Linked DNA regions of Rhinolophus ferrumequinum. The protein of the gene in region 2 purifies or fractionates together with the protein of the main gene of each other region. This does not show direct contact. Links are inferred from orthologs where the notes say so. Each region holds a gene or a part of one and is shown on either strand. Other genes may lie near its edges. The genes, in order: CCDC86, SRPK3, SON and EBNA1BP2.

Region 1 (7,081 bases), on a different chromosome or scaffold from region 2:
GGCAGGTCATCAGGGGAAGTCTTGATTTCCTTAAGTGGGAAATCCTTTCTTAATGGGAGAAAGGAGATGATCTGTGAGAACGCACACTGCAAGGAGTGTGGGTGCAATGACACGCCTAGGACGTGCTGTGAAATATTCCAGAAAAGAAAAAAAAAAGAAAAAAACATCAGAGAGCAAGATGACGCTTGACCAGTAAAATGCTGAGGACTATGGAAGCTGGTGATGAGAACGTGGGGTTCATTAAACTGCGCTCCCCTCAGCTGTAGGTCTTTTTCCTGAACTCTAGGCCTGTTTGGGTGCCCCGTGGGCCTTTTCTCCTTGGCAGATCCTCTCATCGGGGCCTTTTTGCCTCCTCCAATATCTTAACTTGCGAAAGAGTTCCTGCTCATCCACGTCCATTACGTGGTGCCCTGACCTGTCACAGCAGGTCGGCGGTCCTGTCCCAGCCTCTGAAGGCTGTGATGCCTCCAGGGCAGAGCCCACTCCCATCCACGGGGAAGGCTCGATATGGCTGTCTTCTCCCCTTCTTGCTTCACAGGAGTCTGGCACACACAGCTGGATTTGACCCCACACCTGTCCATATTCAGGCTGATTCTGCTCTCCCTCCCCCCACTCTGCCTGACAGAGCTCAGCACACCCCCGCACTGTTCCGTCTCCCTGTCGCCAAGGGCCTGCTGCGGAAGACCCGGCCTCTGAAGCACAGAAGAATGAGGCTGCAGCATGACCTTCTTCCCTACCCCAACAGGGGTCCGAGAAACCCAAATGGACCAGGCAGTGGGGACCTGGACAGAGCCACAGGACACAAAGCTGCATCTTTCTGGAGCAGCACGGCCAAGCAGAACTCTCTGTAATGGTAGAACTGTTCACATTGATGCTGCCCAAGAAGGAAGCCACTAGTTACTTGGCTGCTGAGTACTGGAAATGTGGTTGGTGTGACTGAGGAACTGAATTTTTAACTTCATTTAATTTTAATCAACTTAAATTGAAATAGCCACATGTGTCGGTGGCTAAGGTATTGGGCAGGGCCGTTCCAGAGCATCAATTTTACTTGGAGATCGGAGGAATATAGGCCTGGGTTCCAAGGCCCGAATCCACCACTTACTACCTGTGTGACCTTGGGCAAGGTAGCCTCTCAGCACCTTCCCATGTCACATGGAGATGAGAATCATTCTCATCCCAAAGGACAGTGGGAGGATTAATCGAGACTTGGCCTGAGAATCACTTAGCACAGTGCTCTGCACCTAGTAGATGCTCAATAAACGCCACCCTTCAGAGAAGGGAGCCAGCACACCCAAGGTGGCACTTAGCATGAGCAAGGAAGGTGGGGCTGCAGCCAGGCCTTTCCAGCTACCTCTATAGCCCCCTTTGCTGGGACAACTCCTGGAGCAGGTGCTGCCTCCACTGTCTCTGGGCTCACTCACCAAGATCACAAACATCAATTCGATGGCCCTTTGGCCCTTATCCACAAGACCTGCCTGAGATTCTGAAGGTGTTTTAATTCTACTGCAACAGCTTCTGCTTTCACACGGGACCTCCTACGGTCTGCTCACCGTTTCTCTGCAGAGCCTTGGCTTCCTCATATGTAAAGTGAGGATAAACCTGCTGATTCACAGGGCTGATGTGCAGATTAAACCCCATGATGCATGTTGGTCCCTGTGTCTGAAAAGCCATCCCCTGGCCAAGGCCTACTGAAGTGCTTAGCAGTGTCCTGTATACTCAGTCAGTGCTGGTAATACTTTCTATCACAAAGGCAAATAACTGTAACAGATAATAGTGGGTGAAGACCTCACTGCTTTTTATCAAGTCACAGCTGGTTTACTTGCTTCTGCCTCCCTCACTGGCGAAGGCAGACAAACGCAAATGCCTGTTGAATGAATACACAAAGGAGGTTCTTCGGAGAGATGCAGAGACCCTGAAGAGAAAAGCAGCACAGAAATAACCATGCTCCCCGGGCCCCGGATCCCAGGGCATTTTACCACACTCTGATTATAATTACCAGTTTGTGTGAGCTCTCTCCAACCTAGGGGCTGTCTCCAGGCTGCACCGGTGCCCCAATACCACAGAGAACCCCACCCCTGCCCAGCTGCCCCCCCCCCATTTCACCTCTTCTTGGAGCGGTCCTTCCACACCCGCCCCGATTTGGGCTTTCCCTTCGGGATTACAAGAACCTCCATCTCCTCCTTCAACTTCTTGGGCGCTGGGGCCTGGTCTGAAGATCCTTTTCGCTTCTTTGGCCCTAGGCCGTCTCTCCCCGGCTCCCCGGCGGGAGGTGGCTTGCTCGGCTCGTGCTGACCCCGAGGGGAGCCGGATGACTGGGGTTTCAGCTCCTGTAGTGGCGGCGAGGGCTCCGGACCTGGGGCTCGCTGACCCGGGTAAGGCTCTGGTGATCCCGGGCCCGGCTGCAACTGATGTCCGGGAGACCCCGGCACTAGCGCCTCCTTACTGCGGGCCACCTCCGCGTCCGGTTCTTCACGGCTCTGGAAGAACTGTGGTGACTCCCCACTTGGCTTTAGCTGACGTCGGAGGGATTCGGGACTCGACTCCTCCTGTCTTCGGGGCGACTCCAGGCCTGGATGTTGCTGACTCTGGGGGGGCCCTGAGCCCGGATCTGCCTCCCTGCGGGGGGACCCCAGGCCTGCCCCCTGCGGTAGACTGGGTGATCCCGGGTATGTCACCGGCTGACGTCTGGGGGATCCCGGGCCGGGTTGCCGCACACTCCGAGGAGACTCGGGCTCTCTCGTTTCTTCTGGGTTCAACTCAAACTCCACAAGGACCCGTCTCGCCCGCAAAACTGAGGTGGGACGATCGGTGGATTCAGGCTTTAGGCCTTCCAGCCGCCGGCTGCGCCTCCGCGGTGTATCCATGGCCCAACCTGAAAGTTTCCCGAATCCGACTCCACGTGCAGCGCGTGGGGCAACTGGCGCTGTTCTATGACGTCAGCGTCCGCCACGTTGGTGCCGGGCAGGAGCGGCTATCGCCAGGGCAGCCATGTTGGTGATGGGCAGAGAGGCGGGGTTGGTGGCCCGAGGGGCTGGGCTTACTGTGCGCATGCGCAAAGCGCGGTGGTGAATTTGCTTGGGATTGATGAGCGAACGAAGCCTAGCTTGAGATCCCGGTTTACCTTTCCTGCAATTTCCTGGGGAAAAGAGAGTGCAGGGGACCCATTTCCTGGAGAATGGAGCCCGTAGGCAAGGCTGGATGAAAACTTGGCCACTGACTCCTGTGTAGTAAGGCAGGGGTCCCACCCTCTTTGGACCTCAGTTTTTTCACGTGTAATATGGGTGATTTTGCACTCGCTTAGTGTATCTAAAATGACCCTGTCTGAGTACTCCTAATTGCCAAGGTAGTACCTGGAGGATCCTGGAGGTGGGGAAGTCCGGAGTTACCGGCGGAGTTACCGGTGAAATGGTCATACCTTTGCCTTCTTTTCTCCCACTCTGTGCTTAAGTATCAAATCTATGATTCGCCCTTTTCAATCAATATTTCCAACGTTTACGCATGAAGTTGAGGTACCAGTAAGATGTATCACCTTTGTCCTGGCACACCTGGGCCCTCAGCCTCACGGCATACCCTCTCGATTCTAGAGACAGATTGGATGGTCTCTGAGCTTCCTGTCAGAGGAGACTGGTCTTTGCCCCAGTGTGTGAACCTGCCTTCTCCCCTCCTTTGCGTGAGACCCAGGCAGGGCTTCGTCATTCACAGCACAAGTCTTTCTTAGGAAGAACATCTTGGAAGTTGCCCAACTGTATCCCCGCTCCACTGTTATTCTTAGAACTGCCTGGGGATGGCCCTCTGGGATCCCAGGGCTCCTGTCCTGCTGTCCCAGGGGCTTCTTTTAGAAAACCTTGTTTCTCCAGCAGAGGGGTTGTGAGAAGGCCTGGGAAACTGTCCAAGGATGCTCAGGAGTCACAGGAGAAAGGTCAGGGCAGACATGCGAGGCCTCCGCGCTGAGCACAGCCCCCACCTGCTCAGTCACTCTGCAGTGGCAGGTAGAGCTCAGCCTGTCTTGACTGTGGATCAAGGAGGAGGTAAAGAGGTTCCAGACAAAGGTTCCTGAAGGATGGAAAAGTGGACTGACAAGCCCTTAACACATCTCACTCCTTGGCTGGTGCTATGTAACATCCACAATACATCCTGATGAATTCAGCCTGTTGAAATCACCTCCCCAAAGGTAAGACGACGGCATGGGTTCTCCAATGTCCCTCCATGTCATCAGAAATAGCTGCACCCTTGGACTGTTGTCATGTGTTAGTCCCTGCCTTCCTGGCCCCTTTCAGAGGCTCCTTCTGCAGGCTCTGCACCCTCATGATCCTGGGCCAAGGAACGCCCTGCAGGGAGGCTTACCTCAGTCTCCTGCCCAGCAGTACGGCTCCCCACTGCAGAAGCAGCTCGGCCCTGTCCTTGCCCAGCTCTTCCAGCCCCCAGCTCTTGGTTCCTTCAATTCCTGCACCTGCCTGGAGACCTGAGTGGCCTACTGCTCAGAACCAGGTCCAGTGTGTGTTACCAGGGTTATTGGAGGAGACCGTATGCCACCGCACTACCACTGTCCTGTGTCAGGTCCCCTCAGCTTCCTGCGTCCTGAGCTCCTGTCCTCAGCTGGAGGGATGGCTCTCAAATGCTGGATGGATCACATCCAGGCCAGGCTGAAAGTACTGCAGAGGGTGATCTCAGGTCCCTGCCAGGGTCGTGTGAGAGAAAGAGATGTTTGACAGACATGGGCTCTGTGGGTACCTCTGGAATCATGTGTGGAGACCCTTTATCAACCTAGGCACCCGGCGAACTGTGGCCCAGACCCTCCACTCCCACCTGACCTGTTTGTCATTGTCACTGTCAGTGGTGTGCAGGGCCCCAGAGGAGACCCCTGAATTTTTCAGAAAAGTCTGGTGTGGCATTTGGGACTCTGTTCCCTCACACTCCTTTGCTTTCTCCCGCAAACATCCCAGCCTCCTTACCCTTGGGTGGGAGGACGTTGCGGGGGTTCTCACAGTCCCCCAGAGGACCCAGCAGGATTGAGCCCCACTTGCCTACGAAGGTATCCTGGTCATTCAGGCATCCTCTTTTGGCGTCTTCTCTGTCCCTGCCTCACTTTCTCACTGGTAGGTGCTCACTGAGGTCATTTGCTGAACAGACTATCTGCACTTAAATCCTTGTCTCAGTCAGCTCTGGAGGAACCCGGCCTAAAACACTGGGGCAAGCAATTGTTGGGCCAGGTATTCTTCCAAGTACTCTATATGTACAGAGCCATGTAATCCTCACAACGACCCTGTGAGGCAGGTGCTGTTATTACTCCCATTTCACAGATAAAGAAACTGAAGCACAGAGAGGTTGGGACACTTGTAAAGATCACACAGCAAATCAGTGTTGTGGGATCCTCACCTAGGCTGTCTGACTGCAGAGCCACAACCCTTAAGAGTAAATCTTCTGTTACCCAAGTAAGGAAACTGAGGCACAGAAAGGCGAAGGTGCTTGCCCAAAGTCACACAGCTCTACATCAAGGAGTCAGGAGTACAGTTCCAGAGCCGGCATACTTAGCTGCCTTGCATCTGCCTCTCACATGGGCCTCGCTCGCCCTTCCTCACACTGACCCTGGTCTGTATACTGGGAGCTGCTGGGTGCCATGTCGCCCCATGGGCTGGCCATGGCTCTCTGTGCATACACACTGGGCAGACTGCTGAAGGATTATTTATGTAACCTGAGATCTGCTGACTGATCATCTGCACCCAGAGATGACCAAAGATACAGATCAGGTGTTCTTCTCTGAGCCATTGATACTCCACCCAGCCAAGGGTGCTGCCATTGAGAGCGTGTGACATATCAGGGGCACACATCACCACAGCCCTCTGCTCAGGACCACAATCAGAGATAAGCAGAGAAAGGGTTGTGGCAGTCACCTGAGCACTAACTGAGCACTTCCTAAGTGCTGGGCCTCTCCTGGGTGCTCGTTTAATCCGCTGGAGTGCGGATGCAGGAGGGTGATGCCTGCACCAGGAGGGTGCTTCATAAGCATTTGCTGAACGTGGGAATAGATGTCCATTATGACCCCCTCAGGGCTGGATGAACAGCCCTGGTTTACCAACGAGGAAATCCGAGGCTGGGAGAGGTTGTGATTTGGTGCCTGGCGACTTAAGGAGAAGGTGCCTGGTGCTAGGACAGCCCTGGAGCTCAGGGCTTCCTGACTCCACATCCATGCCCCTACTCTCACATCTGCCAGGCCTGGGGGCCGAGTATGTGTAAGGACTTGGCAATTGGGATGCTGCTGAGTGTGGCTGGAGTGAGGGCAGGACCTGAGGAGGCAAAGATGTCCCTGGGCTGGGGCTGAGTGTGAGCACACAGGTCCAGGCTGCCCTCTCCTCCACTCAGAGGTCTCTTAAGTATGTGAAGTCAGCTTTCCTGTAGCTTTCCAGAATTGTCTTTTTTTCTAGGCCCAACATCTGCTCCTCCAGCTGTCCCTCCCACTCTTGGGAAAAGACACTAGTTCTCTACAACCATTCCAGAATGTGGTGCCCAGAGCTCCCTCAGGCACCCAGCCGGGATGCCCCACAGAGCTCCAAGGCATTTGTCACTTCCCTACTCCACCATTCCTTTCAGTGTGGCCAGGTCCCCATCCTCTTCCCGACCGTGAGCCATCAACTGACACCTCGAGTCTGGTTCCAGCTGCTGTTCCCCGTATCCCAGTCACGAGCTGTTGGTTTTTCTGGACAAGTGCCGGCTTTGTCATTCGGCCTTGCTACATTTTGTTTTGACCTCGCTGGAGACCCGGCTCTCCTCCTTCAGTGTTTGCTCCCCCTCCTTTGCGTGTGTGAACCCTGAATCAGGCCCTGCCGAGAAATTGCAACAGGACCACATTATTATGTCACTTCTTATCATGAGCAGTCATCTCAGAGGTTCATCGTTTCTTTGTGTTCCCAGCAGCTCACAACGAGTCTCAGATTCTCAAGAGGAGGGGCAGAGACCTCAGCAGAGGGGTGAGGGGGATGGATGGGAGTGGAACCTGAGACCCCTGCTGTGAGACCCCCTCTCTGTCCCCATAGAGCGTCAGCAGGGTGCAGAGAACCTGCCGGGGCTGGGAAGGGACCTCCTT
Region 2 (7,349 bases):
ACAGCGTGTGCCCGCCCGGGTGCTCGACACAGACACCATCACCCAGGTGAAGGAGAAGGTGTTGGACCAAGTCTACAAGGGTACCCCCTTCTCCCAGAGGCCTGCCGTGCACACCCTAGACCTTGGTAAGACGCCCATCTGCCTTCCTCCCCTGGGTCTGTTCCACCTATAGAGGCTCGGCTCTGCCTTGCTCTGAATAGCAGAGTTGGGGAACGGGATGAAGGCTGATTGGCTTCTCTGGGTCCCCCCAGAGTGGCGCTCGGGCCTGGCTGGTCACCTAACCCTATCAGACGAGGACCTGACCTCAGTGACCCAGAACCACTGGAAGAGACTCAACACTCTACAGCACTACAAGGTTTGTGGGGCGGGTACAGGCTGGGGGACAAGCCCATGCCTCGGGATGAAGCAAAGAAGGATCCCAGCCTCTGCTTCCCTCTCCGCCAGGTCCCGGATGGGGCCACAGTGGGGCTCATCCCCCAGCTGCACAACAGAAGCGCTGTCTCCCAGAGCCTGGCCCAGAGTTGTCCCTCCAGAGAGAGTGAGTCCTGCGACGCAGACATGCCCATGTGCCCCTGGGAGCTTAGGCAGGCCGGCAGGAGTCCTGGTCATGCCATCCCCTGGGTCTCCCCAGACCTTGCCAGTGGGCCAGCCAAAGCTCCAGGCTGAGCTGAGGGCCTGGGTCAGACGAGGGAAGACGTGTGTCCTGGCCAGGGAGCTCTAGGACCACGGGGTATTGCTGAGCAAGCCCCTGAGCTGCCACCCTCCTCTTCACATTGCTACCCTCTGCTTTCCTCGGCTCCTCCTACCCTGTCCCACCCCATCAAGTTGGGGCATAGGACTGAGGCCAGCACATGTGTCCTCAGACATCCCCATGCTGGAGGATGGTGAGGAGGGCGGGGTCCGCCTCTGGCACCTGGTGAAAGGCACTGAGGAGCCAGAAGGTGCCAAGGTGCGGCGCAGCAGCCTGCGGGAGCGGGAACGGGAGCGGGAACGGGCCAAGGCCATTCCAGAAATCTACCTCACCCGCCTGCTCTCCATGAAGGTCGGTGGAGCCATGTGACTGGATGGCGCCCTGAGGGGCCCCTGACTGAGCTGCGGGGAGGGCATGGTCCTGAGAGGCCAAGGGGCGGCCCCAGCCACTGATGCAATCCCCGCCCCTGCCTTCCAGGGCACACTGCAGAAATTTGTAGATGACACCTTCCAGGCCATTCTCAGCGTGAACCGGCCCGTGCCCATCGCTGTCAAGTACCTGTTTGACTTCCTGGATGAGCTGGCAGAGAAGCATGGTATCGAGGACCCGGAGACCTTACACATCTGGAAAACTAACAGGTACCTTGCCAGCTGGCCCCATCCCCGCGAAGATGGGACATGGAGTCCCAGAGGGACAAGGACATTGCCAGGGTGGCGGGCGGCAGGCCCTGAACAGGAACCCACACCCCCAGCATAAAGTCTCAGGACAGCTGCCTGGGGAACTCAGGGTGGGGCTCAGGCTGATGGGTGCTAGACTCGCCGTGCCTCACGCCCGTGGCCACTCTGTGTCCCCAGCCTGCTGTTGCGGTTCTGGGTGAACACCCTAAAGAACCCACAGCTCATCTTTGATGTGCGGGTGTCAGACAACGTGGATGCCATCCTTGCCGTCATCGCCCAGACCTTCATCGACTCCTGCACCCTCTCAGAGCATAAAGTGGGCCGGGTGAGGGCAGAGCTGGCCTCGGCGACAGCCAGGGGCTTGAGGAGAAAAGGCTTGTGGGAGAAGCCCCGGGGGCTGGGTGCAGAGCCCTGGGTGGAGCTGGGGTGGGGGGTGCATACTGTAGGCTAGTGGTCGGGGGCACTGGTGGCACTGTCAGGGTCACAGGACAGGGGCTTCCCCACCTCTGCACTCATGCCTACCTCTACCCGGAACAGGATTCCCCAGTGAACAAACTGCTCTACGCCAGGGAGATCCCTCGCTACAAGCAGATGGTGGAGAGGTAGGTGTCAGGGTATCACGGCTTGGGTAGAGGCTGCCCGCCCCTAACGGTATCTCCTCCTCCAGATACTACTCCGACATTCGCCAGAGCTCTCCAGCCAGCTACCAGGAGATGAACTCAGCTCTGGCTGAGCTCTCGGGGGTGAGACACGGACCAGGGGTACACGCCTATACATTTGGGGGACAGAGTGGGGGGGAGGCTTGGGGCTTAAGGCCCAGGCTGGGGCCTCATCCCCTCTATGTGCTGCCCCCAGAACTACACCTCTGCTCCTCACTGTCTGGAAGCTCTGCAAGAACTTTATAACCACATCCACAGGTATTATGACCAGGTGAGGCCAGGACTCTCCCGGGGAAGGGACACCGCCCTGGGGGCGGAGGAGGTGTCCAGGCCCAACCAGCCGGCAGAGGGGAGGAAGGGCCCGGGTTGAGAAGGAGCTTGGCTTCTGTCCAGCTTCTGCCCAGAGCAGCCCCCACTGGATCCCCAGGAGCTGCTGAGATGGAAGCAGGGCTGAGTGGCCCTGGGCCAGTGGGCAGAGGGCTGGAGGCTCAGGCTGGGCACCCTTCTCTGCCCTGGCAGATCATCGGTGCCCTGGAGGAAGACCCTGTGGGCCAGAAGATGCAGCTGGCCTGCCGCCTGCAGCAGGTCGCTGCCCTGGTGGAGAACAAGGTGACTGACCTGTGAGCCCAGGCCACAGCAGGCACCCAAGGCCCACCAGCTTGGACAGCAGCAAGCAGGACCCACCACCACAGTGCCTATGGCCCCTGGATCGAGCCAGCGACCGAAGAGGGGCTGGCAGAGTTGGGGGGGGCTCCCTGCCACCTCTACCCCCACTCCGCCCTTCCTCCCCGTCCGGGCTTCTTTCTAATTTATAGCGATCCTTCTCCTTCCCCCCACATTGTATTTATTTGCTTGCTGGAGAATTGCTTCTGGAAATAAAATGGGAATCTGTCTTTTTACAAAAAGCCCAATCCCCAGCCCCTGCCTTCCTCTGGAATCTACACGGCCCCAGGGCTGTGACTTCTGCTGCTTGAGGAAAAGAGGGGTAATCAGGCACCCCCAGGACTTGCTCTCCTCCCTCCCCTCGCCTCCCCTGGCCCCTGCAGGAAAGGGGTCCCTGTCTTCCCACCCCTGTTTATTCCCACCCCACCCTACCAGTTCTTTTCTGACACAGGGACACAGAACCAAATGTCTCCCATCTTGGGCTAACTACAGTCACTGCTAAGCCCCTGTGCTCCCCGAAAGTGCCCAGCTGGCCTCCTGGCTCCACTCTGGCCCTCTCCATTCCCTCCTGGGAGCAGCCAGAGTGATCTTTCTAAAGAACAAAAGTGCCCATCAGCCTCTGCTGGAGGCACATACTTGGCCACCCGAGGCCCCCCCAATCCCCAGCCACTCTGCAGCCAGTCCAGCCTTGGAGGTCGCCAGCCAGTCTGCTGCCAGCCTTGCCCCAGCCTTTGACACCCTGAAGGCTTACCCATCCACCCCCTTTCTGAGGACCTGATTTTTCCTGGTCCCTCTGATGTAGCTCCAAAGTCATAGGCTCTGCCTGACCTGGACATCCCTCTGTCACCAGCCCGCTAGAGCTGTGGGCTTGTTTGCTTCCCACTGGAGGAGGACCCCTGAGGGCAGGGCCAGGGTCAACAGCTCCCTGTGCCTCCCATGGGGGCACATGGCACATGTTGGTGGAGACAATGAGCAGGGCGGAGATGGCAGGCGTGGAACAGAGCCAAGAGGGAGACTGCCCGGGGTCCCAGCGCCAGAGTCCTGGCTGGGCAGATTTCCAGGCTTCCATTTGGCCCGCACCTCTGGTGGGAGTAACGTGTTGCCTTTAGCTCAGGCCCCTGACTCTTGCTATACCAGGGCCCCCAGTGATCCACATTCAGGAAAAAGAGGACATCGGGCTCCAATCTATCTTAGGGGTCAATGATGAGGCACAGGAAAAATGGGAAGCCAGAGAAGGTTCCAAAAGTGTCGGTGGTGCTCTAAGCACACGGTGGGGGGTGGGAGCTTGGCCTGAGGACTAGGTTGCCAAGTCCATGGTGTCCTTGCCTGGCTGACCCCCTCAGCCGTCTCTGGAGTGCAAGGCCTCACCCTGGGGCCCGGTCACCATGTCCTCACGTGGGTAACCCGATGGTCCTGGGGTCTGTGAGGGACTGCTCGCTCTGTCCCCGCAGTGGCCGGCTCTGCCAGCTGTGGGCAGAAGCGGGGGTGGGGGGGAAGAGGGCTTGTCTTAGGGGGCCAGGATGGGGGGGGCGCTGTCGCTGCACTGCCCCCTCCTCGCTGCATACCTTGCCCACAGCTGAGCAGCTGGGAGGCTATTTATAAAGGCGGGTGAGATCAGCGGGCCGAGGCTATAAATGCTCTGGCCAAGGCCGGGCCCCACAGGAGCAGCCCCCGGGGCGCCGGAGCTGCAGGCCGCGAGGCCAAGATGAGTGCCAGTGCTGGCGGTGGTGGCAGGGACAGTGTCGGCAGCAGCAGCAGGTAGGGCTCGGCCTGGGCGCCTGGGGCCCCTGGCGCCTCATACGCTCACTGCCCGCCCGACCCACCCACAGCTCACAGACCTCCTGTGGGCCCGAGTCCTCGGGCTCTGAACTAGCTCCCGCTGCGCCAGTGCCGCGGATGCTGCAGGCGCTGCTGGGCTCTGACGACGAGGAGCAGGAGGACCCCAAGGACTACTGCAAGGGTGAGGCCTGGCCTGGGGTGTAGGCGGCCAGGAGCTCCCATGGGGGGAATGGGACAGCCCAGGGAGAGGGTGCTGGTGTCAGTCCACGTGGGCCAGGGTGCCAGCAGGGTGATGCCCCCCACCGGTCTTTATTGGCTCCCTGCCCCCAGGTGGCTACTACCCCGTGAAGATTGGCGACTTGTTCAATGGGCGGTACCATGTGGTGCGCAAGCTGGGCTGGGGCCACTTCTCCACCGTCTGGCTCTGCTGGGACATCCAGTGAGTGTCCCCTTTGCCCCCTGGGGCCCAGTGCCGGCTGGGATCCTGCCTTTGGGCTTGGTTGGGGCCACTATGATGTCCCCATGTGTCTGGCCGGGGCTAGCAGCTGACTTGGGTCTCGGCGTTGCAGGCGCAAGCGCTTCGTGGCCCTGAAAGTAGTGAAGAGTGCAGGGCATTACACGGAGACAGCTGTGGATGAGATCAAGCTCCTGAAATGTGTGAGGCGCCTCCCCTACTGACTCCCAGCTCCCGGGGAGCTGCCTGGGGCCTGGCAATGTGGGTGCAGGCCTGCAGGGGCTTCTGGGGCGGGGCGGAACTCCCAGAAGGGCGGGCTCCAGGTGGCCCTGCCCAAGTGGGAGGAACTGGAGGAGCCAGCGAGGGCAGGGCCAGCGGCCTGCCTTCCAGCAGGCCCCTGGAGTGGGAGAGGGGTCTGCCACCCCGGGAGCAGCTGGTGAGGGGCAGGTTGGAGCCATCCGTGGCCCTTTGGCCTTTGCTCCAGGTCCGAGACAGTGACCCCAGTGACCCCAAAAGAGAGACCATTGTCCAGCTCATCGATGACTTCAGGATCTCAGGGGTTAATGGAGTCCGTATCCTTTGCAGGCTGATCAAAGCCCCATGGCAGCACAGGCGCCCGCTTGTGACTTCCCAGCTGCTAGGGCCTCAGTTTGCTGATCTGCATGATGACCCTTGTCTTCAAAATACCCTCACTACTTCGTTATGGGGCACAGTGGGTAACCATGTTGCTAAGTTACCCCCAAATGGCAGGGCCCACCACGTCTGCGGCGTACCTGGGCGTAAGAGGGGCTGGTCTGAGAGTCCTGCTTCTCCAGTGCCCTCTCCCTAGGATGACCACAGATGTACCATCCCAACTGGCATATCTGAGAATTACAGGGGCACTGTGACCACCAGGCCCACCAGGCCCAGCTCCTCGACCCCAACTGATGGGGGGTGGAGCCTGTGCCCAGTTGCGCGCCTGCCAGCCACCCTTCACTCCAGTCCCAGATGTGTGCATGGTCTTAGAGGTCCTGGGCCACCAGCTCCTCAAGTGGATTATCAAGTCCAACTACCAGGGCCTGCCTGTGCCATGTGTGAAGAGCATTGTGAGGCAGGTGAGCACCCCCTAGCCCACGGGAACAGCACTGGGAGGCAGCCTGGGTACGGCTGGTGGAGCTCAGGAGGGGCTGTCTCCAGGTGCTCCACGGCCTAGACTACCTCCATACCAAGTGCAAGATCATCCACACAGACATCAAGCCTGAGAACATCCTGCTGTGTGTGGGTGACACCTATATCAGGCGCCTGGCTGCTGAGGCCACGGAGTGGCAGCAGTCAGGGGCACCGCCCCCATCCCGCTCCACAGGTACTAGAGCTGTATGGGGCTGGGGCTGGCCTGCGGGTCTCAGCCCCTGCCTGAGTCTCTGTTCCTTTCTTTCTACCCCTCCCCCCGGTGCCCCTCCTTCCCCCCCCACAGTCAGCACTGCCCCCCAGGAGGTCTGGGTAAGTTGGGATACCCCTCTTTTCCTGTGCCTCATCTCCCCATGTCCTCAGAGCTCGCCTCCTCAGCCTCCCTGCCCTCCGCAGCACTCTTGCATTTCCAAAAGGCTGGGCAGCCCAGATGAGGGTGATACATGTGGCGGGTCACATGCCCCAACCTGCCCTTGGTGGCTGCTAGAGTCACCACTGCCTCAGTGTGAGGACATCGCATCTTGCACTGGGAGGGACCAGGGCTGCCCCCAGAGGAAGCAGGCACCCAGTCAGATGCAGGCCCATCCGTTCCTCCCTAACCTTGAGGTTTGAGGAGTGGGGGCAGGAGGGAAGGCAGGAGGTGGGTGAGAGGCTGGTGCCAAGGAGTGTTCTGGAAGAAGGATGTGCCACATTCCGACATCTGTGCGAGCCCTGGGGCCCAGAGGCATTGTCCCCTGTGGAGTGGTAGGCCACAGGCAGAGGTCCCAGCTGGTCAAGGAATAGGCGACAGGAACCCTGGGGTGACCCTGGCTCTAACAGCAGCTGGGTAAGCTGTCGAAAAACAAGAGGAAGAAGATGAGGCGCAAACGGAAACAACAGAAGCGGCTGCTGGAGGAGCGGCTGCGGGACCTGCAGAGGCTGGAGGCCTTGGAGGCAGCTGCCCAGGCTGAGGGTGAGGGGCCGGAGGGGCCCCCCACCCTGGGGCTGTTGAGCGCGGGCCGCCAGGGCTTCGACTCACACACCACCTCTGCCCCTCTCCCCAGACTCTAGCTCAAGACTAGAGGGGGGCAGCGGCTCTACCTCTTCTTCCGGTTGCCACCCTGGAGGGGCCCGGGCCGGCCCCTCCCCAGCCTCCTCCTCCCCTGCCACGGGGGGCGACCGCAGCCTCAGCCCCGGCTCCCAGACCTCAGGCTTCTCCGGCTCCCTTTTCTCTCCCGCCTCGTGTTCCATCCTCTCAGGCTCTTCCAACCAGCGGGAGA
Region 3 (7,486 bases), on a different chromosome or scaffold from region 2:
CAATTCATTTTTTTTTAATTGGGGTAAAGTGTGTGTGTGTGTGTGTGTGTGTCTTGAAGTGCACATAATCATCCATCATCTATATACACCACAAGTGGTCACTATCAAAAGTCTAGACAGATACCATCATCTATCGCCACACCATTGACCCCTTCACCTCTTCCTCCCTCTTCCCCAACATTCTCCCCCTCTCATAACCACCACTCTGTTTCCTGTATCTATGAGTTTGTTTTTGTTTTGTTCATTTGTTTTGTGGGTTTTGGGTTTTTTTTAAAGGTTGTTTTGTTTTGTTTTACAAGAATCTTAACAAACGTAAGAACATGTCATTTACATGGTCATTTCCACTATTTTTGTATAAATTTGCAAAATTGTTTTAAAAAATAATTTCAAGAACACATTCAATTTAACTTACATTTTAGCTAACAAAACAGATGGAATTATGCTCCACTACCTGATGAAAAGTCTGAATGATCAAAAAAAATTGGTAGTTAACTAATTAAGGAACATTTGGTTTTCTAATACAATGATGCACATAATTAACATTTGTTGACTATTAGTGTCACAAGGTTCTACATTTTTTAAACTCATTTAATTCTAATGAGACCTTAAGATCAGCACTATTATTCTGATTTTATAAATAAGGAATATGAGGCACAGAAAAGACAAGAAACCTTGCTGTAGGTCACACAGCTATTAAGAGGTGAAGCTGCTATTCAAAGCCAGAGCTCATCCTCTTAACCACCATCTATATATAATAAACAACCTATTTTAACTATCTAAATTTCAGTCTCCTTACTGAAATTGACATATGTAAAAATAGATGGGACATAAAGCTCATGGAAATGGCAAATATCAAAAATCTGTTTTTCGACCGATAATGTATTACATGTTATTTGAGGAGCTGAATATTCCTCTAGTAATAAATTGCTTTCTCTGATATTCTTTAGAATTTCCTTCCAAAGCACTTTTCCTAAGCACTTACACATACGTAATTACCTCACTAAAAAGGCAACAGATTTAAAAATCAGAAAAGTACAACTAAAAAAAGTCAGTCTATGAGAAAGTAACCATCTTAAAGCTATCAGGATGTTTTCCTCAAAAGGGATGAAAATTTCAAACCATTAAACATCCATCAACACATTCCTACAGAATTCTACGGAACCATGAAAAAAATGTCCCATAAGTCCCAAAAGACTATGGAGATTGATTAAAGACAACCTTGCTCACAATATATTAGGTGAAAAAACAACCAACACAAGATAATCACATATCACAAGACATGTATGTGCATCTATCCACACAGGAAAAAAAAAAAATCAAAGAACATCAATAACTGTGGTGGTTTTTAATTTTGTTCCTTTTAAACTTTTTAAAATTTTTTCACAACAAAACACTTTCTAACACAAAAACCGATTTTAAAAGGTATAAAAGACATTACAATAAGCAAACACAACCACTTACTGCACGAGACTATTAGAATGTATCCCCCCCAAAATATATGTATTACATATTCCCTTAGCTCAGGTCTTTTCCCATCATCCTGAAAATACAAGCATGTAACAAAATTTTTGAAAGCAATGGAATGAGTAAGCGGATATATTTCCCATTTAAAATACAATATATCCTGTAAAAAATAATCCTAGCAATACTATATCGTTGCTCCAATAACGCTGTTAACTCGAGCGCTTAATTTACAATTGCGTTTTCCGTTGATTTTTATTGCTCCTGCTCTCAACTTTTAAACTAAAACTAGCAAAAACATTTGGACTCGGAACAAATATTTACGTTATACAAAGCAAAAAATACTGAAAGACAACCAGTGAACAACCACATTACCCACACTATTTTCCTCTGAGTAAACAACTATTTCTTTGGAACTCTCTCCTCGTTCAAATTTTGTGGAACCAAGGATAAACTACGTAGTCTACCAGCAATGGCAAAATGGAATGTGTTGTTCAAATATATCAATTGGGGCAACGATAGCAAATAAAAATTTAGATCTACACACAAAGCCCATCTTTCACTTGCTAAATTAAGAAATTAGTAGTAATTCAAAGTCCCCTTCCATCCTCAACTCGAAATTTTTGTCAAAGCAGCTAACATTAATTGAGTTTTTTTAATTTGAATTCCGAAACTTACAATGCTGCCTGGTGGAAGCCACAGGACACTAGGGCCCAAATAATCTAATTAGAGGATCCCGACCCCCAAATGGTCTGAAGCATGCAGTAAAAAGCGGATTTAAGTTTAGTCAAAAAAACGGCCGTTAGAGACCCTTTCCGGTCATAGGCACCGACCGGCGAAATCCGCGGAGGCTGAGAGGGGGAGGGGAAACGCGGCGGCGGAGGAGGAGCTGAGGAGGAACTAGGCCCGTCCCTAGTGGACAACCAGGCCTACTAACTAAAGGGTAGGGGACGACCAAACGAGAGAGAAGAGTGAGCTTCTTAACTCGGTCCTGGAGAAGAGTCTGGGATTACCTCGGAAAGAGCGAAGTTCCTCGCTGGGAAGGGAGGGAGCGGATGGGGGTGGGGGGGGCGGAAAATGGATCCCAGGCCCAGGCGGGGCTGTAGCGGGGCCTGAGGCAGGGAACGACGGCGTCTCTGAATAAAGGTGGTATGGAAGACTACATGATGCCCTATCGATCCCTTGGGAGCAGAAGAGTCTGGGAAGCGCCTACCTTGAAAGCTCCTGTTGAATTTCCCGGAATTTACTGACCACGAAAGACCTAAAAATCTGCTCGATGTTGGTCGCCATGGCGTCCGCTCCGTTCTCTCAACTCCTCCTCGCTAGTCCTCCAGGCTCCCAGAATGCCTCGGGAGGAGGCGCAGGGGCCAATTCCGTCTCTCGCAGTCCTGATTGGCTCCTGTGGGAGCGTCCGGATCTGCACGCTCTGCCAATGTACCAATCAGTGAGCACGGCCCTGCTCTCCTCCGCTGTTTCTGAGCGGCTTGGGTAGAGCTGCTGACGTTTGCGCCGCGCACGACTCTGTCCGCCATGTTAGTGACTGACGCAGGCGCCATTACAGGAGAAATCTCTCGAGGCGACTTTGTCAGTTTAAGTTGTCAGTCCCCAACAATGTTTGGAAGCTTAAGAGGCTTACTTTAGCCACTAAACTCCCGAGATTAAATACTATGAGGAAAGGGGGTAAGAAGGGCAACACGTTGGATACCGGGCCTCCGACATTCCCAAGTTGTTTCAGCAAGGGAGATGCATCCGGGAAAGCATTAATCAGCGCCCGCCCCCACTGAGATGCCAATAGGAAGGACACGATTTTACCCCATGATAGCCTATAATCAGTTTTGTTTTTAAGCAATAGGAAGTCTTGCGCGACCTGCGTTCAAAGCCTGGTGCATGCTAGTCAGGAGCCAGGCGAGACTATCACTGTAGCTGCTCGATTCTGACTCGTTAGCAACACACAATTAGCTAAGTGTGGATTCAGCGTTTTGGGACACTCCCCCTCCTCAGAGACCGGGACGCTCTCCGGGAGGAATAAAGACCTTAGGTGGCACCTGATGCTGTAGTATCACATAAGCACGCAAGGAAGGGCTTGCTAGCTTTGCGCTGGAGTGGGCTCAGGCCGCACCCAAGAATGGGAGGGAACACACTGATTACCTCGCGGCAGAGACCACGGTTTGCGTTGACCAATGGGGAAGCGAAGCCCACCGCGGGGCGGGCCCGGAGCGGGGAGGAGGCGCGCGCCCCGGATCCCGGTGGGCTGACTTCCGGCGCGCGCGGGCGCTCGAGCTCCAAGCGCGCAGTCGAACTTGTGAGTGCCAGCGGCCAGAAGGCCTTGAGTCGACATTGTGTTCGTGCGTAAGCCCTCGGCGCTTTTAAGTAAAGTACATTTATGCTTTGGTTTGGGGATCTAATATTAGGAATTGAATGAACTAACTCCAGTTGTGAGATAGCTGTAGAAACTGGTTTGGCTATAGGAATACTCAATTTTTAAATGCACTGAGTGGGGGTTCGCCATGTGCTTTTCATTTTTAACTGAGGTTTACATTGGATCTGTCACTTTCCCTGCTTTCTAAGATTCAGGCCTTTTGTATCTTTATGCTTCTTTTTTTAGGTCATAAATATAAGTTGTATATTTTCTTGTTATGCACCCATTGTGTCTAGCAGATTAGTCCACCTCTGTAATTGGTTTTTACTTTATGTTACTCACCAAATCCATTGAAAGCCAGGCTTTACCTGGCTCTCTTCATCTCGTTATGTTACTCACTTGGATAACTGAGGCCCGAGAAAGTTAAGTCCCTCAACGTATCCTGGTTAATAAGGGACAGTGTCTCAACCCAAACCAAGGCACCCGGATTAGAGCCTGGGCCTGACCACTCCTGGTGTAGATTCGTTCAGGCTGAGTCTTCTCTTCCCCTTCTTGTTCAAACAAAATGTAATATTTTCTCTAGTTTTAAAGCTGTGTTTCTTTCAGATGTTTCAATGCACATGGCAAATCTGTGTTTTCTGTTAAATTAAAATAACTTTTTCCTTTCTGAGAAGATAATTTAGTAATTTTTTTCCCTCAGGTTTTCAATGACCACCATCTCCTTGTTACAGTATCTGATGAAAAATTGCTTCAGTTGCAATACATGAGCTCTGACCTGCAAGTTACTTAACCTAACTGTACCTCAGTTTCTTATCTGTAAAATGGGGATGGTAATAGTATCACATAGAATTAGGAAGATTAAGCAAAGTAGTTCATGAAAAGCGTCTAGAATGTAGCATCTGGCACAAAGTAAGTGCTCAAAAAGTGTTAGTTTTTTCTATTATCAACTTAGGTTTTTATTTAAATGTGTAATCCTAGCATCTCACAAGAAGTTACAAATTTCAGTTTTCTTTTTCCCATTTTCAGTTTGCCTTCTACGTAATTAAATGTCTTCTGAAAATTAGTAAATTAATTTGCCAAATTATTCATTCCTTTTGCTTTTTTTTCTGTTAGAACTTCTAACTTCTAAAGTATTACTTTAAGTAAAAGTACTTAATAAAATATAACAAGTTAGCATTTACTACTGCTGAATGTCAGAAATTGTACTAATTGTTTATATAAATACCCTTCCAGTTCATCCTTAAGTAACCTTGTAAGGCAAATTTTCTCCCATCTTTTAAGATGTGAAGAAATTGAATTAGAAATAATAAGAGCTTACCCAAAGTCACACTGCTAACCAGTGGAGAGATAGCTGTTGCCCCATCCTGCTCAGAATCAAATTCCAGAACAATGTGAGACATATTCAAATTTGATTTTTGCCTTCTCTACTGATTTTCTAAAATACTGCACTAATTTCTTAAATCGGAGGTCAGCAAACTATGACCTTTATGCCAATCCTTCCTGTCAACTGTTTTTGTACAGCCCACCAAATAAGGATAGTTTTCACGTTATTAAATGTTTGGGGGAAAAAGAACGGTGTTTTTATGACACGTGAAAATTAAAATTCAAATTGCAGTGTCCATAAACAATAGTTTTATTAAAACACAGCCATGCTTATTCTTTATAAACCTCTGATTACTTTCTATTGCTTAGAGCAGAGATAGCCAAACTATGACCTACTGCCCATGGCCTGCCTGTTTCTGTAAGTTTTTACTGGACATAGCCACATTTATTTATTTATATATTGTCTATGGCTGTTTTCATGCTACAGCAGATGATCACAAGATTTAAAAATAGTTATTTTGAGTTCTGGTCTAGATGTAAAACATCAGGATTCATTTTTAACTGAGGCTCGATTATTATATCTTCTAAAAACCCAGAAGGTTATTGTTCATACAAGGTTTGTTTTTTGTGTTTTTATTAATCCAATAAGGAGTTAAAGTCACCATTTTACTCCTTAACTTAGCTCTCTAGGCCTGTCTGCCTCATTTTTAAAACACCTCCCTAATCATGAATACAGTCATATTTCTCATTATTTCATTTCTCAAATTCATCCTAACTTTTCACAAATGAATTGTTGGAATACATCATATTTAAAAATTGTTATTTCTAAAGTATGTGCATTCTGAAATACCGATTGTGGTTTTCTTTCTGCAGCTCTCATTTTCCTTCTGAATTCCTACTTTGCAGACAGCAATGGCAGCCCGAGTACTTGTAATTGGCAATGGAGGAAGAGAACATGCACTGGCGTGGAAACTTGCACAGTCTAATCATGTCAAACAGGTGTTGGTTGCCCCAGGAAATGCAGGCACTGCCTGCTCTGAAAAGATTTCAAATGCTGGTAATCATGTTTTAATTATAAATGATAAACTGTCAACTGCATCTGTTTTTTATAAGGTCAATTGCTATTCAGATGTGAATGCTTTTCTTAACCTTAAAGTTTATGAGGTAATTTGAATGTTTGCCATATATTGTAAATGTAAGGTATACTGTTGTTCGGTATGTGGCATTTTCTTATCTTAAATTATTTTAAACCTTATAAAACACATCCATTAAAAAAGTCACACATGCCCAATGTAGGTAGGTTAAAGGCATTTTAATGTGTAGTTTTGGACATGAAAAGTTGAGCAGTGCTATTAAGTTCTGGCAATTCTATCTCCATCATAGGTCTCAGCCTTTATCTCTTTAACTGGTAAAAATGAAAAAATGATCAGTTCTTATGCTATATTAAACTCTTCAGTGGCTTCCTATAGCACTTAAAATAAAACTCAAAAGTCCTTAGTGTTCCTGATGAAGCCCTTTGTGATCTAGCCTGTGCCTGCCTTTCCGGTATTATTTGTCATATCCTTTGTTTTCTTTTCACTGTGCTCTAGCCATGCAGGCTGCCAGTTTCCCAAACAGAGCTGCCTAGGCCTTTGTATTTGTTCCCACCTCCAGCATTAGTGGCTCCTCATTATTTCAGATCTCAGCTTATATGTTATCTCCTCAAAGAGGACTTTCCTAAAGTTTCTAAGTAAAGCATGTCCACCTCACATTTTATTTGTTTGCGATTGTGAACCATTATCTATATTTATTTTTTACTTGTCTATTGTCTGTCTCCTACCTTCACTTCACCCCTAGAACGTAAGCTGTAGGAGGTAAGCTACATCAGGGCAAGGAATTCAACTGTCTTGTTTTATATTGTGTGCCCTGTGCCTAGTACCCTATGTGGCTCATAGTATGTATTGGAGAGAAGACCCAGCAAGCCATAAACTGGGAGAAGATAATAGCATACACAGGACCAAAAATAACAATAATAAGAAAAAGATAAATAAGGAAATATCTGCTTCCCTGGGATCTTAGCTAGGGGGTGAGATATTGTATGTTTATTGAAGAACTAGCACATTTTATGTAAAAGCAGTTGATGCCATGCAGGCCAGCCCATGAAAATGTCCCCGATTGTCCTGAGGCTGCTACCACTTGCAGAGACAAGCTAGATGTGTCCTCTTCCGCATGCCACCCTCTGCTGTGCTGAGGTAGTTGGCTCTGCTCAGCCCACTTGTGTTTGCAGCTGCTTGCCCAGAGTGCATTGTACTCCATCCTTATTCCACTCAGGCAGTTCCTGTGGACTGAGAACTCTACCCTTTC
Region 4 (6,875 bases), on a different chromosome or scaffold from region 2:
TGCTGGGAGATACCTGATAGACACCATTGTTCTGAGAGTCGATTCTAACAATGGCCATTACTTTCTGTTTTTCCCACAGCCAATAGACAAGGTTGGACTCTGGAGGTGATGTCTGAGTCAACAGGTATTTGGAGTCTGGAGAAAAGGCCATGCAAGTAAATTTCTGAACTGGGAAGTCAAAATTATTAAGGATTTTGCGCTTCCGGACAGGGATGGATGACAGTTCATAAATGGTGATGACAGGTTTTTCTTGCACCATCTCTGAGACAGCGAGGTATCGCCTATTGGGACTGATGGACAAGGCCAACATGCCTTGACTCTTCTCTGAGCCTGAAAATAGAGGTAAAAGGGAGAATAAGGGTAGATGAAGCTTTCACCAAGATTCAACGTGAAGCAGCCACAGCGGCTGACGCAATAGGAGAAAAGTGCAGAAACAGGTCATTGTCAGTCCACGAGCCCCTTGGTACAACTATATCTGGGGTATTATTAAAATGACTAGGATGGGTACCTCCCTGAGGCGAAGCTTGGAGGAGAAGTCAGGGAACAATTCCTGGAGGCGGACAATGTGGGACAGGGAGGGGAGTGGGGCAGGTGGCAGGAAGAGAGAAGGTATGAATGTGAGAAAGTAGGATATTGCTAGAGCATCACATGTGAGCCAGGGATGACCAAAAATGGGTCTAGAGGGGTGGAAGAGGATCAGATCATAGAGGCCTTTATGCCCTGAGCAGGCAGCACTTAATACTCTCCGTCTACTTTCAAGGCCGAAATGCTAACCACTGGATTCCTCAGCCTCCCTTGCAAATAGGTGATCTATGTGCCATTCTGGCCAGGAGATAGATGTAGAAGTCTGCTGACTGGCTTTATGGTAAAGCTTGTGCTTTCTTGAAAACCAGGGATGGATGCACTCTATCCCCCTTTTCCTGGAATACAGAGGTGATATGTGGAAATACAGCAGTCATCGTGCAACCTTGAAGTAACAAGCATGAGAATGAAAGCCACGGTCCTCTAGATAGCAGCGCCTGCGGCAAAGGTTAAAGTGCAAATACTTTATTTGTGAAATGCAATCAGGGCCACATTATGATTTTTGTGGGCCTTAGGTACTTTAGCTTTCAGGGACACCTTCCTCTATTAAAAATGTTAAAAATTATATTTTGTGACAGCATTTGTATAAAGAGGAATATATCCAGGCTGGATTCATTGATATGTTCATTATTATTATATTCATTTTTTTCCTGATTTTAAAATAAATTAAAATTAAAACATTTTCTTCTATCCTTAAATGTATCATGGGTCCTAGGCTCTATGCCTACTGTGCCTTGTGGACAAGTCTTCCAGCTCAGTTAACAGCAACTCCATCCTTCTGATTAATAAGGCCAAAAACCCCACTTCTTTTTCTCTTTCACCCTACATCAGATCTCTGAGAAAATCTGTCACCTCCACTTTCCAAGTGTATCCCGGATTTGATCTCTTCCCTATGGCCTATAACTTGCTCCATGACACCATTTTCTCTCACCTGGATTACAGCAATAGTCTCTCAACTGGTCTCCTGCTTCCTCCCTTACCCCTCCTTGCATCTACTCTCTAAACAGTAGCCAGATGAACCTGTTAAGTCAGACCATGTTATGCTGTTGTGAGTACCCCCAGGACTTCTCATTTCACTCAGAATAAGAGCCTATGACCCATAAAGCCCTAAGTGAGGTTGCTCCCCATCACTTCTCTGCCTCACCTCTCAGTGCCTATTGTTCCAGTCACTTCACTTGAGCCACCCTGGCCTCCTTGCTATTCCCCTAACACACTGAGCACCCTCCTAACTCTGAGCCTCAAAGGTGAAAAGCAGAAGTATAAAGCATAAAAGAGATAGTATGGGAGAATAATTAATAATCTTGGGTTAGGGAGAAATTCCTGAACAAGACACAAAAAGGAAAATGTTGATAAACTTCACTTCATTAAAACTAAGAATTTCTAAAAAAAAAAACAAAAAACAAAAAAAAAACTAAGAATTTCTGTCCATCAAGATACCGTAGGGAGAAGACACAAGCCCCAAACTGGGAGAAATTATTTGCAATACATATATTGGACAAAGGATCGGTGGTATACAGAATATATAAAGTGTACTCATAAGTCAGTAAGAAAATTGCCCCCCAAAACCACAGAAAAATGGGTAAAAGACATGAATAAAGCATCTTACAGAAGAATGAATAGGAATAGCCCATAAACATGTAAAAAAAAATTCATTCTCATTAAGGGAAATGCACACGAAAACCAATAAAATCAATCACTAGGTTAGCAAAAAATTAGGAAGTTAGACAATACCAAGGGTTGGCGAGGTTGTGAAGGAATGGCAACTCTCATATACTCCTGGTGGGAGTGTAAATTGGTACTACCGCCTTACGTAATTTTAGTCCTGGCTGTGTGTCCTGGAGAATCTCTGCACAAGCGGATGAGCATACATGAATGCAAAGACATTTTTACACTAGCGCGGTTGGTAACAGCAAAAAACTGTTGTTTCCCAAATGTCCACCAACACCAGAATGGATAGATACAGTTGAGACATTAGATTCATAGGACGGAACACTACATAGCAATAAAATGAACTCAAGATGCATGTAATATATATCAAAATGTATAATCTCGAAAGCATGAGCCACCTTGTTTGTTTTGATGTTAAACAAAAGAAGCCAGCCATAGAATACATATACTATGATTCCATTTATATAAAGTTAGTAAATAGCAAAAAACAAAACTGTATCTTACGTGGAGTTACACATATGTGGTAAAACTCTATGCAACAAAGAGTGGAAAAAGGGAATAAATAATCAAGTTGTAGAAATCATATATATCGACAGGAGCAATGTGAACAAAAACAAATGTGACATTATACAAATGGTTATTTGTGACTTGGGATAAAATCTCCAGTGTCTTCATCATGCATGAATTATAAAGGTGCTGGGATGAAGGTGGTATACTCTGAAAAACTGTCAGATAACTCAAAAAGTGGCCCTGGTGATGACAAACACAATGATTTTGAAGATGCATGAAAAGACACTCTTTACATTTTTTTTTCATTAGATCACAGTGGAAAAAAAACTTTTAAATTAACATTATTTTACATGTGATTTTAACTGTGTATGTGTGATTGATTACATGTTAAATAATGCAAGCAGACATGTATTCCTTCCACATTTGGAAAACTATACGTTTATTCAAGTTGGCCAAAAAAAATTTCCTTTCAGTCATCGTATTGAGACTATGGGGTTATATTTGCCACCTAAGGTTAATGTACGAGTATGTGGCAGGATGGAAAGGGGTTTACCTGGAATGAATTTTTGCCACTTCTGATCCATATTGTACCTCACACACTGATTTCCTGCAGGAAATATAATGATCTGCTCATCGAAGAAGAAGATATTGTTGGCCACTTGGGATTGAAGACCAAAAACATGGTGCGACTGAGCTACTACGGTCGACATGGTCCCTGGCCAAAGAGATCTGTAAAGACCGAGCCCGCAGTTGACATGGAGAAGCGCATCGCCGCCCAGCCCCGCCCAGGACACGCCCCTCACCACGCCCCCAACCCTCCTCCACCGCCCACTCCAGAGCCCCTCACCCACTACCCCGCCGAGGCTCCGGATTCTCCCTTCCTTTGCACCCTCGCGGCTTCCTTCTCCTCCAGCCATCCCCCCACCTCCCGGTATTCCCTCTCACCTTTCGCTTTTCCTCCCCGAGTTACCAGACCACACGTATATCCCGGGGTAGTACCACGGCTCTCAGGCAACCTCGGCACTATGAGACGCCGGAGCGGTTCCTATAGCAACGGAAAACCGGAAGTGTGTCTGGGCCCGGAAGCGGAAGTCCAGATCAAGAAGTCCCGCAGCAGTAGTGAGTTGTTGGCTGTGGAGCGGTTCGGTTCCACGTGGAGCCGCGGCGGGAAGGTAGAGGACTGAAGAGCGGCGGCTGCAGCGAGAGGTGCCCTTTCCAACCGCGCGGGCCTCGGCCTACTCCGCTTCCCCAGGGACGTGTTGGACGTGCGCGCAGCCAGATGGACACTCCTCCGCTCTCAGGTTCGGACTCAGATTCTGATGATTCTCTTGTCACGGACAAAGAGGTAGGTGTCAGCCGAGCTCGCGTGGCTGGACGCGGGGAGAGGTCCTTACTCCCCTGGTACCTATCGCCGATTATGTCCTGCAGTTGCAGGATGCCTTTTCCCGAGGTCTCCTGAAGCCAGGCCTCAATGTCGTGCTAGAGGGGCCGAAGAAGGCAGTGAACGACGTGGTGAGCTCGGGCGCTTGGCGGAGGGGGGTACTCGGACGTGAGATGAGCACAACGAAATGTGCTTGGGTGACTGAGTTCTTGTCCCAGAAAGGACACTGCGTGCGTATTGTCAAGAGGGTCAGTTACCTGTCAGGGTATTGGGGGATAGCACTTTGTCGGTTCGCCTAGCACCCTGGGCTTGAGAGAGACATATTCAGGGTTCCCTTCTTAGGAGCTCAGTGTCTGAATTTCTTAGAATGGCCTGAAGCAGTGTTTGGCTGAATTCAAACGGGATCTGGAATGGGTTGAAAGGCTTGATGTCACCCTCTCTGAATTTCTTAGAATGGCCTGAAACAGTGTTTGGCTGAATTCAAACGGGATCTGGAATGGGTTGAAAGGCTTGATGTCACCCTCGGTCCGGTGCCAGAAATCAGTGGACCCCAGTCACCACCTCAGGACAAGGATCAGAAAGCTGTTGATCCAGAAAATGACTTCCAGCGGGAGATGAGCTTGTATGTTTGTTTTCAAATGTGGGAGAAGTTGTCGGTCCCTATGCTAGAGAGGGAGGAGAGAAGGAAAGTGGGGAGCCCGGACTCCTCAGAAGTTATCACAAGCCTGGGATCAGGGTGGGAGGCCTCTTTGGACTAAAAAGAGCTAAAGTTTTTTGTACATTCAATTATTAGAACAAAAATTTGCTTATGGAAGTTTCTTATATAGACATTTTTAGCGACTGCCTAATAATTCATAATTGGCATTAGTTTTGTAAGTTAGTGGGTACTTTTAGAGTGGTGATTCTCTTAAACTATTCATTTATTTTCAGCAGTACTTCCCATCACCCTACCTTTTTAAAAGAGTGTACAGTTAAATTTTTCCAAGATTAACTTAGATACCAAGTTAATGAGGTTTAAATGAGGTTAAATTTTTCCAAGATTAACTTATATACCAAGTTAATGAGGTTTTTATTTGTGTGTTTTTGTTTGTGTGTTTGTTCTTGCTGGTGGAGGTCAGATGTTGAGAGTCTTTCTGACCTTGGATAACTCATGAGAAGCAGTGAGAAGGAATGTAAGGCCTCTTAGCTTATTTCACACTTTGTCCTACATCCTCAGCTACCGTCAGGCCCAGGCCGCAGTGCTTGCAGTATTACCCCGCCTCCATCAGCTCAAAGTCCCTACCAAGCGGCCCACTGATTATTTTGCAGAGATGGCCAAGTCTGATCAGCAGATGCAGAAGGTAAGAAACAGGGAAGGTTTTTTTTCTGGAAAGCCAAGGTGTTGTACTTAAGTATATTCAGCTGGCTTACCTTCTGTACTGTTTAAAAAACTAAGCCTAATAATAGGGAACCAGTTGTCAAAGGACAATTATCACCTCTGTTGTCTACTTCACACTCATGACAATCACCACCAATTAGATAAATGTAAGGGTGACTTTTTCCTAATTTAAATAATTAAGATGGGGCGGCTGAAATACTATGTGGTGGACCTTCTTTAATAAAATTTTTTTTAAAAAGCAAAAAAACGAAACAGTTAAGGGGAGGAAAAGAACTGGAAGTGTGGTCCCCAAGGTAAACATGGCCTTTTGCATTTCCTAGCTGCCATGATCATGGCATGTTGTATAGAAAAAACACAGTTCTTGTCCTGCCATTACCAGTGGGCAGTGCTACAACTTGTAGACAATTCATTTTCTCTGGGCTTCAGTTTTCTCTTTGGTAAAATGAGGGAATAATGTATGGCTGAGATGTAGTATAATTTAGGGTTAGGTACAGCTTGGTCCTCGTTTAACTTTGGGAGGAAGAGAATTGCCAAAATCTAATCCAAGATGTATTGACATAGTTCTCTTGGGTCATAAGCTGGATTTTAGGGAGCTCTTATCTTGGCGGTACTTAGGGAAGCTAATCTAGAGATGGGCCCAGACACATCTCTGTACATTCACACTGACAACTGTTCATCCTTGAACTGAAATGTGTATGTTTGATGGAAAAGGCGAAGTGCCCAATATCTGTTGGAGTTTTTAATGTGTATGTGGTATATTGGAGAAGGGGACAGTAGGGATGGGGAGAAGTTAATTTCTCTTGGCAAAATTGCAAGCAGTTTTGTATAATGGAACAAATAGCACAGTGGGAATGGGAAGTTTGCTTGCAGGTTCTAGCTCCACCGCTGCTACGTTTGGGATCTTGGACAGAGTGCTGAGCCTTTGGGCCTCATTAGCCTCAGGTGTAAAACACAGGACTTGGAATAGGTGATAATCAAGGTTCCTTTGAGCTCCACAGTTTGCAGCACTGGGAATATCTGTTTTCTGCTCCAGTGTGCCCTAACTAGTGGTCATCTCAGATTCAATTAACAAGCTGACAACATTTTGTGTTTTAGATTCGACAGAAACTGCAAGCTAAACAGGCCGCCATGGAGAAGTCTGAAAAGGCTAAGCAATTGCGAGCACTTAGGAAATACGGAAAGAAGGTGAGAAGGAAAGTGTGCAGGGGATAGGATGAGGCCGAGTGTGTTTTTCAGGCCAGATTGCGTGGTCTGATTTGTTCCATGCCCTGTATGTGTTCAGTCATGTGCTTATTATTTCATAGTGGGGTGTGTGTGCTCTAGTATTCATGAACTCATTCTCTTCTTGATGCCAGT

The links.
Region 1: the proteins of SRPK3 (region 2) and CCDC86 purify together in Homo sapiens (affinity purification with mass spectrometry; 3 studies listed by BioGRID and IntAct, with this or other methods). This does not show direct contact. The link is inferred for Rhinolophus ferrumequinum from reciprocal best matches to the Homo sapiens genes SRPK3 and CCDC86.
Region 3: the proteins of SRPK3 (region 2) and SON purify together in Homo sapiens (affinity purification with mass spectrometry; 3 studies listed by BioGRID and IntAct, with this or other methods). This does not show direct contact. The link is inferred for Rhinolophus ferrumequinum from reciprocal best matches to the Homo sapiens genes SRPK3 and SON.
Region 4: the proteins of SRPK3 (region 2) and EBNA1BP2 purify together in Homo sapiens (affinity purification with mass spectrometry; 3 studies listed by BioGRID and IntAct, with this or other methods). This does not show direct contact. The link is inferred for Rhinolophus ferrumequinum from reciprocal best matches to the Homo sapiens genes SRPK3 and EBNA1BP2.

The regions. Positions count from the first base shown.
Region 1 is NC_046294.1:9,918,671-9,925,751, forward strand, and holds the start of CCDC86 (coiled-coil domain-containing protein 86), read right to left. Parts: upstream 3,009-7,081; 5' UTR 2,865-3,008; coding exon 2,104-2,864; intron 1-2,103.
Region 2 is NC_046284.1:6,645,136-6,652,484, reverse strand, and holds the start of SRPK3 (SRSF protein kinase 3), read left to right. Parts: upstream 1-4,330; 5' UTR 4,331-4,395; coding exon 4,396-4,448; intron 4,449-4,519; coding exon 4,520-4,650; intron 4,651-4,799; coding exon 4,800-4,908; intron 4,909-5,038; coding exon 5,039-5,126; intron 5,127-5,407; coding exon 5,408-5,495; intron 5,496-5,910; coding exon 5,911-6,017; intron 6,018-6,099; coding exon 6,100-6,265; intron 6,266-6,376; coding exon 6,377-6,402; intron 6,403-6,909; coding exon 6,910-7,042; intron 7,043-7,133; coding exon 7,134-7,349. Other genes in the region: PLXNB3 (plexin-B3), read left to right, coding at 1-125, 252-355, 445-538, 864-1,042, 1,169-1,329, 1,546-1,693, 1,906-1,970, 2,036-2,111 and 2 more. UniProt on the Homo sapiens protein: Serine/arginine-rich protein-specific kinase which specifically phosphorylates its substrates at serine residues located in regions rich in arginine/serine dipeptides, known as RS domains.
Region 3 is NC_046285.1:99,475,347-99,482,832, reverse strand, and holds the start of SON (protein SON), read right to left. Parts: upstream 3,022-7,486; 5' UTR 2,752-3,021; coding exon 2,675-2,751; intron 1-2,674. Other genes in the region: GART (trifunctional purine biosynthetic protein adenosine-3), read left to right, coding at 6,056-6,200. UniProt on the Homo sapiens protein: RNA-binding protein that acts as a mRNA splicing cofactor by promoting efficient splicing of transcripts that possess weak splice sites.
Region 4 is NC_046292.1:30,447,473-30,454,347, reverse strand, and holds the start of EBNA1BP2 (probable rRNA-processing protein EBP2), read left to right. Parts: upstream 1-3,866; 5' UTR 3,867-4,039; coding exon 4,040-4,105; intron 4,106-4,188; coding exon 4,189-4,272; intron 4,273-4,593; coding exon 4,594-4,763; intron 4,764-5,357; coding exon 5,358-5,481; intron 5,482-6,614; coding exon 6,615-6,704; intron 6,705-6,875. Other genes in the region: CFAP57 (cilia- and flagella-associated protein 57), read right to left, coding at 14-330, 3,314-3,470. UniProt on the Homo sapiens protein: Required for the processing of the 27S pre-rRNA.